2 linked regions of the Tribolium castaneum genome follow. The protein of the gene in region 1 purifies or fractionates together with the protein of each later gene. This does not show direct contact. Links are inferred from orthologs where the notes say so. Each region holds a gene or a part of one and is shown in the gene's direction. Other genes may lie near its edges.

Region 1 (4,313 bases):
TGGAACCGCTTCATTATCCACCAACTGCACGTCGAACTTGCCGAAGCCAAAAAGAAAAACACCGAACGAAAAAACAACAAAACGCCGTTTTCGTACAACGTGACCGATTTTCCCGCCATAGACGACCGGAAAAAGTGTTCAGGTTGGAGAAAAAATTTCGTATACAACTCGTGTAATTTTTTAATGTAGCATCAGAAGTTAATGCGAACATGGAGCAGGAGAAGCGCGACAGTGAGAGTGAAATTATCCAATTACTGGGCGCCAAACAAATCCAAAAACACTCGTGTCTCAAGTGCAAACTCGAAGTAAAAAAAGAATCGATTTTACTCGTCTGCAACCTAATCTATCCGACCAATGAACCGGAACGTGACGAATGGAGTTTTTGCGATATTTTAACGCGTTCGCTTTGCTCGCAACAAACCACACCGGCGTGGTGCGAAGAGTGCAAGAAGTTCGCACCGACGCAACAAACACGCGTGCTCCAGGTGGCGCCCTCTCGTAGCGTAGGAGGCGAAACGAGATACACAAAATTTGTGGTCGTTTCGCATCCTAACTTATACTAATCTGTACTTCCCACCAATTGTGTGATTGTAGTCGCTTCCCAAACTCTTGGCCATTAACACGGGCTTGCACAACCCGCAGCATAAGCAGTTTTGGCAAAGTCAGATGGATAAGGTTGTGGCTAAGGTCACGGAAAATGCAGCTCCGCCAACAGCGCCCCAGATTAATAGTCTGAGTTCGTCAAAGCCGTGTCGTTACGGTGACCACTGTTCGCGGCCAGGGTGTCGCTTTAGACACAGTTTTGATAATGTTCCGCCCCCAGCACCTGTTAATAATCCATACTGTAGTAACAATTGGCTGCCGCATTCGATTTCGATTGCGCTCAAAGAGGGCGAGTTGATTATTGAGAAAGTTGAGGATAAGAAGGAAGTTGAGGGGGAAGAGAGGGTTGAAGATGAGTTGTATGATTTAACAGCTGTTGTTTGTTATATTAATGATCCGGCGTCGAGTGAAAAACGTAATATTGTGGCGTTGATTAAAGTACCGGATTCGTATTTGTCGGAGACAACGCAGTCGGAACATAAGTGGTATCTCTTTAATGATTTTAGTATATCGACAGTGTCGATGCAAGAAGCTGTGTGGTTCAGTCTGGACTGGAAGATTCCCTGTATTTTGTACTACTCTTCGAGGGGGATTTTGAAGGCGAAGTCCGAGATTTCCCCGCCGATTTCAAAGGTAATGTACCACTAAAATAATGACTGAATTTAGAACAGTTTTATATGACAATCTTCTTTATGATTTATGACAAACGTCCGGAGTTTTTTTTACGAAATCACTGGCCTTGGTTACATTTTCTTGTCTCGTGTCCTAATTTTAGGTAAATTTTTTGAAAAAAATTTAGTTTTGACCTCAACGAGAGTCAAAGAAGGAACTTTTCGATTAATTTTTCACAAAATTTTGCGAAATAATTACGTTTCTGGCTGAAAAACGTGCTCAAAAATAAGATAATTTCGGCGTCTTTTAGCGAAATCTCGGTAAATAAACTGTGATTTTAACTCTAAAACGTGCTTAAATGCCCAAGAACGGCAAAAATAACATTATTTTTGACCGTTCAAGATATTCGGAAAAAAAATAATAATTAATTTGTTCACTCTGTTTCTGACGAGAAACTTTGAATGTAACCTAAACACGTATTTACTTGCTTGAAAAATATAAAAATAACAAATTTTTCGACCAAGCTTTCCAGGTTTTTGGCTGATTTTTTTAAAAATTTGCTGACAAACGAGCTATATCGCGCGAAATAAGGTAAAATGGTATCAATTTGGATTAAAATTGTTTCGACTTTAAAAAATATGCTCAAAAAATGCAAAATAATACAATTTTCCACCAATTTTGGTGATTTTTCGGCTTACTCTTAATAAAATTTTGCGAAATAATTTCGTTTCTGGCTGAAAAACGTGCTCAAAATAAGATAATTTTGGATCTAAGTTGGTAATTTTCGGTGTTTTTTTGCAAAATCTCGGTTACCAAACTGTGATTTTTACTCTAAAACGTGCTTAAATGCCCAAAAAAAAGGCAGAAATAACATTACTTTTGCTAAAAATTTATTGTTCTTGGATAATAAATGAATCTGGTCGAAATCTAGTTTTCACCAATTTTTACAAAAAAAAACTCCAATAAAAGAATTGGTTTTGGTTTCAAAAACGTATTTAAAAATTTGAAGGAAGCAGAATTTACATAGTTTTCAGAAATTTTGGTTTGTTTCTCAGAAAATTTTAAGACTTAATTCCTTTTACTGGCTGAAACCATTGAAAATATTCGGGAAAAGAAAAGTAGTTTAGTGAGAAACTGAGAACATAATCTAAACATTTGCTTCAAAAACATAAAAATAACATATTTTCCACCACACTTTATAGGTTTTTTGGCTGATTTAAAAAAAAATTTGCTCAAAAACAAGCTAAATCGAGCGAAATAAGATAAAATTATATCAATTTGGATTAAAATTGTTTGTTTTGGCTTTCGAAAATGTGCGTAAACTTTCGAAAAAGGCAAAATAGTACAATTTTCCACCTATTTTGGTGTTTTTTCGGCTTACTCTTAACAAAATTTTGCGAAATAATTGGTTTTCTAGCTGAAAAATTTACTAAAACTCTCGAAAAAGTCAAGTATTATGTAGCGTTAGACTTGACTTGGTGCTTTTTTTCGGTCTTTCCTAGCGAAATTTCGCAGAAAAACTGTGTTTAATAACACTTTTGACGAAAATTTGCTTTGGAAAATGTTCGTAGAACTTATTTCTTGCTCAAAAACGAGTTAAATCCAGTAAAATAAGCAAAATTAAATCATCAAATCAATTTCGACGCAAATTTTCAGCTAAGGGGCTTGAAAAGGTAAGGATATCACTATCACCATTTTATTATTTATGGACTAAAGCAGGTAACATGTCACAAATTTCGTCTTATTTTTGTCTTTTAGACGTTTTTTAATCAAACCTTGTAAAATAAGGGAGAAAACAAAATATTTATATCGAATAAAACCGGCTAGAATAACATAAATTTCGAACGAATTGTTCGTAACAATTTTTTTCATTGGCAACAGTGTTTGTAAAAATATCTGTAAGTAAGGTGTCCGTAAACGTAGTAATTTATTTAAATAGCGATTTGTTTGATTTTCGATTTTTTCATCAAAACTTCTTTCTACACAAACGCTTTTCTAAGAAAAAAAAATTGGAGTCGATTAATATTCGCCATTTATTCGCATCTAAAACGAAGTTCTAGTGGGAGGGGCCAGCCCTTCAAAGCCGGTTTATCGCCTCATTTGTTCCTCGAATGCATAAACTGACCAATAAAAATGTAAAAATTACCTCCTCCCAGTTTATCTAGCGAACAAAAACTGCAACACGATTAAAGGCGTTTGTCATTGGATATTGACGGACCAATGCATTCCCACCGAACGAATAGCAAAGCCAGTAAAAAACTGGCCGTTTAATTATGATTTCTTGTGTTTCCGACAGAGAATGAATTACTTTTCGTTCGTTATTTCGGTTGAGACTAAAGATTAGAAAACACTGAATAAAAATAATTAAAAAAATTCTTTATTTAACCTTGTGAACAGGAAGTCTTCACTGAAGACGCGTGCATAGCCCGCAGTTGGGGCACCTCAGCAATCACTTTCACACCACTAACAGACAACGAATTCCCCAAAAAGGGCGACTTAGTCGCAATGGATGCGGAATTTGTGACACTAAACCAGGAGGAGGCTGAGCTACGTAGTGACGGCAAAATGTCAATGATAAAACCGTCGCAAATGTCCGTTGCGCGAATTACATGCATTCGGGGGTAATAAACAAGAAATTAAAAAAATAAAATAAAATAAAAAATAATTCAGGTCGGGCCCCATGGAGGGCGTCCCTTTCATCGACGACTATATTTCCACGCAGGAACAAGTGGTTGACTACTTGACCAAATTCTCGGGAATCAAACCCGGGGATTTGGACGCCAACTTCAGCTCAAAACACCTGACGACTTTAAAGTCCACGTACACAAAACTGCGCTTTTTGCTCGACAGTGGCGTTATTTTCGTGGGGCATGGGCTCAAGAACGACTTTAGGGTTATTAACTTAGTGGTGCCTCCTGAGCAAGTTGCCGACACTGTGCATTTGTTTCACCTACCTCATCACCGGATGGTGTCGCTGCGTTTCCTCGCGTGGCATTTTTTGGGTAGGGGATTCCCCAAGCTAGTGACAGGAATCACGTGGTTTTGTAGGTGTTAAAATACAGTCGGAAACGCACGATTCGGTCGAAGATGCCCGAGCT
Region 2 (3,945 bases), on another chromosome or scaffold:
AGGAAAATCAGTGACAGGTTTCAAAATTATAATTTAAAATTTATCGATAATTCAGACGTGTGGGAACACGTGTACTCCAGCAATGAAACACACATCAAACATGCAATTGAAGTAAGTAAGAGGTAAGACAGTGTACCCGCCACTGGTTTGACTCATCGTAGTTGTCACCATGACAATCCCCATTCATGTCCTGCTGTATTACCATAGTTACAGCACGTTTCTATGGCAACTGGAGGAGCCATGTGCGACTCGTCAAATAATTTTGTTTTTTCCAGAACATTGAAGAGTGTTTGCAACAGTACGGTTTAGAGAATATCTTCGTGAGTTTCAACGGCGGAAAAGACTGCACCGTTTTGCTCCATTTGGTTTTAACAGTCGTCAAGAAAAAATTTCCTCAACATTCACAACCAATTCCCTGTCTTTACGTCCAAAGTGAAAGTCCCTTTCCCGAGCAAGACGAGTTTATTGACTTGTGCAAATGCTACTATAATTTGAAAATAATGGTCATTAACGCGGGAATCAAGGATGCTTTGGGCCAAACTCTGGAAAAATATCCAAATTTCAAGGCATGCTTTATGGGGACGAGACGAACAGATCCGTACTCAGGCGATTTGACAGTTTTTCAGGTATTTTTCGTCAAGTTTTGAAGGTGTTTTTGAGAATTTGGTTACAGATGACTGATTCCAATTGGCCTCAAATACTCAGAGTTAGTCCGGTCCTGGACTGGCATTATTCCGATATTTGGGATTATTTACTCTTCTATAAAGTACCGTACTGTAAATTGTACGATTTGGGGTTCACCTCGTTGGGGAACACCGTAAATACGAATCGGAATCCCTCTCTTAAGTGCTACGAGCCGTTTGACGAGGGCGAATTTTACTTACCGGCTTATAAATTACTGAAAGAGGTTAAGGAGCGCAATGGACGGAATACGAGTTGATTTTCGGGGAAAAACTAGCTGAATTTATTTCTGGGGGTGGAAATGTAGCAAAATACATAGATCGTACTTTATTATTTATTGTATATGTTGGTTCTGTAGAGTTTATTAATGTTGTTTAATAAAAATGTGAAATTGTGTTTTATTGGTTGTTTTAATTTAAAATTGGCTCCGGTCAGCGCTGCCAACTTGCAATCTACCAACCTGACAAAAGGTGCGTTGTGTTAGCACTATCATATTTGTTTTTTATTTTCCGATTATTATCGTTATCTTTTGCACGGTCTCGCAGGTATTTGTACCTTTTTGCGCCCTTGGTCACATAGTGTGTTTTTGGCAAAATTGGCAACAATTAATTTTTTACATCGCCGACAAGTCAAATCAACACAAACAAAATGGCGATTATTTTCAGCAAATTTTCAGGTGTCAGAAGTAAATAGAAATAATTAATTTCAGTTTTCAGAAAGGGGGTTTTGTGCGCGTTCAGGTTTCTCGACTAAAATGTTTCCATCGCATGGTTTTTACTAGAATTGTGAGCGGGGTCGTTGAGGGGTTACAATATTGTAACGTCTCTTTGTTTCAGGGAATTTAATGGATCATCAGGTTTATTACCGGTTCGCACAAACGAATGGGGTTCCCCAGGAATCTAAACTAGCAAATTACATGGTAAGGTGTTTACGTAACGTTTCAGTTACGGGATTTTCGTTTGTAGAACATTCAAAATTCGAGTGGTAGTTTGCACCAGTCGTTCCAAAGCAAGTTGAGTATCGAACCGAAAAAACCACTAACGAGTCCCCAATGTGTTGGAGGGACAAGTCTGGTGTCCAGTGCTCCAGGTATTGTGTAACAGCTGGTGGCCTTGAAACCCCAACTGTTTTCTTTTTTCCATGACGCTCTTGGACCCATTGACCTCTCCTAATCTAATCATTTGTTTTCAGCTTCACCCAACATTTTCAACTCTTTCACCCCAACGCTAGACCCTTCGCCCATTCGATGCGTTTCTGACCACCCAGAAAATTCCAGTCAATCAGCTTCACCCAATCGCGTCAGCAGCTGTTCACCCATGTCAGATGTAAATAACATAGCTGTTGCGGCATATCAGGTACTCCAGACCAACCGAAAGCCGGTAATACAGGGTCCGCGTGCTTTTAGGAAAATGTGGGCGGGACAACGTACTTTTACCCAACCACCTCGGAAACTTGTCACGCCACTGATGTTGCTGTCAATAGCAACCTCACCTCGGACTACAATGTGTACCCAGGCACCCCTAACCACATCACTTCACTTAAGGCCAAGCAGGGCGCCTCGTTTTTCATATCAAAGGACCTCCAGATGGAGCTGATGAATCGCAACGCCTTGACGCTCATGCAGGCCAATCAGCAGTACGCAGGTGATTGTTTTTACCGACCGTTGTTTTATTCATGGCCAACTAACATCAATTGTCGATGAGCTCCATTATCACATCTTTCGTTTCCAATTCTCCCAACCTAAAAATTCTTATGAGGCGCCATATCTTCATTAACATACGAAGCAAGTAGTAGATTGATTTTATAAATTGTTTTGCAAGTAAAAAAGCTATTATTTTTATGTTCGGTTTTTTAAGTCGTTAATAGGCCTAATCTTATACTAGCTATCTTTTCTCATAATTATCTTTCACCTACGATGGTTATTATTAGGCTCGAAAACGCTCATAAACCAATAAACCTTCACTGAAACATTACTCACAAACGAGAGGTTTTGTTTACTAGATTTTCCCCAAAATTTCCTTTGATATTTCCTTCAAAATTTCTCCTGATTTTTAAAAAATATTTTTCTCAATATTTTCTCTAAATTCTCTTAATTTGGTTAAGATTTCTCCTAATATTTTAAAATACTGTTTTTTTGTCATTTCCTTAAGATTTTCCTTGAATGTTTTTATAATTTTTCGCCTTTTCTCAAGATTTCCCCTAATTTTTGAAAGGATGTCCCGTCATTTCCTCACGATTCTTCTAATTTTTTTTGTTTTTTTATATTGATTTTTGGCGATTTGCTCTGGTTTCTTCTGATTTCCTCAAAAATCCCTGATGATTTTCCGTGATTTTGTCAGGATTTCCTATAATTTTTCTCCCCTCCAGATCGTTATAAAAAATAAATTAGGAATAAATGGAATTTCGAGTTAGACTCCAGTGATTTTGTTTCCTAGTAATTAATGTTATCTTTTTTTAACAAAAAGCAATAATAATAAAAAATAATAATAAAGCAAATCAGCTTTATTTTACATGCAATTTTTTGAAATGTATCAACAGGACGACTTGTGTTCCTAATGTGTCTTTCAATGTCTTCAAATTAATTTGTCAGATTTCAGCAAAGGCTAAAAATCGTTTAAAGTTTCTTAAAAAACATGTTCATTTTTGTAATTTGTTACAACTTTATATAATTTGCATTTTTTCTAAACATCAAGAAACATGAAAATTCAACTAATCAGTTTTTACTCGTATGTGGTATATGTTAATACGTTAATTCAAAACTTATATTAAAATAACGTTCCATATTCATGTCCAAATTTCATTTCTAGAATATTTTTCTCTCTTTTGATCAAGATATTAGTCTCAAAGGAATGTGTACCTGCAAATATTGAATAATAATTTTCCTACAACACTATTCAATTTTAGTGTTTCTATTTGAATGTTTTTGGTCTCTTATATGGTAGACAATATTTTACTGTACAGGGGTGTACACAAGAGATATTCAGTACGCTATAGCACATATTCCAACAAAATCTAGAAAGATAATAAAAATTCTCTAGATTATTCATAACAGCATTAAAAAAGCAAAGAGGGGAATTTTTTCTTTTAATTTTTAAAATTTTTTTAATCGGCGATATAACCAAGAAAAGGACCAGAAAACTAAAAATATCATCTGGTAATAGTTAAATAAAATCCATAGTTGCAACTGGTAACTACTGTACAACAATTGAAATAGATTCGGTGAAAAGACTCAAGTACTGGGTGTTTCAAAACTATAAAAAAATG

What was found. Proteins that work in one complex are often made in the same cells at the same time.
Region 2: the proteins of PAN2 (region 1) and PAN3 purify together in Homo sapiens (co-immunoprecipitation; 5 studies listed by BioGRID and IntAct, with this or other methods). This does not show direct contact. The link is inferred for Tribolium castaneum from reciprocal best matches to the Homo sapiens genes PAN2 and PAN3.

What each region holds. Positions count from the first base shown.
Region 1 is NC_087399.1:1,478,117-1,482,429, reverse strand, and holds part of PAN2 (PAN2-PAN3 deadenylation complex catalytic subunit PAN2), read left to right. Parts: coding exon 1-142; intron 143-189; coding exon 190-485; intron 486-594; coding exon 595-1,236; intron 1,237-3,612; coding exon 3,613-3,836; intron 3,837-3,885; coding exon 3,886-4,217; intron 4,218-4,263; coding exon 4,264-4,313. UniProt on the Homo sapiens protein: Catalytic subunit of the poly(A)-nuclease (PAN) deadenylation complex, one of two cytoplasmic mRNA deadenylases involved in general and miRNA-mediated mRNA turnover.
Region 2 is NC_087394.1:25,733,683-25,737,627, forward strand, and holds the start of PAN3 (PAN2-PAN3 deadenylation complex subunit PAN3), read left to right. Parts: upstream 1-1,133; 5' UTR 1,134-1,151; exon of another isoform or gene 1,152-1,226; intron 1,227-1,390; 5' UTR 1,391-1,466; intron 1,467-1,517; 5' UTR 1,518-1,525; coding exon 1,526-1,600; intron 1,601-1,646; coding exon 1,647-1,770; intron 1,771-1,872; coding exon 1,873-2,036; intron 2,037-2,086; coding exon 2,087-2,324; intron 2,325-3,945. Other genes in the region: FAD synthase, read left to right, coding at 1-111, 276-626, 674-940. UniProt on the Homo sapiens protein: Regulatory subunit of the poly(A)-nuclease (PAN) deadenylation complex, one of two cytoplasmic mRNA deadenylases involved in general and miRNA-mediated mRNA turnover.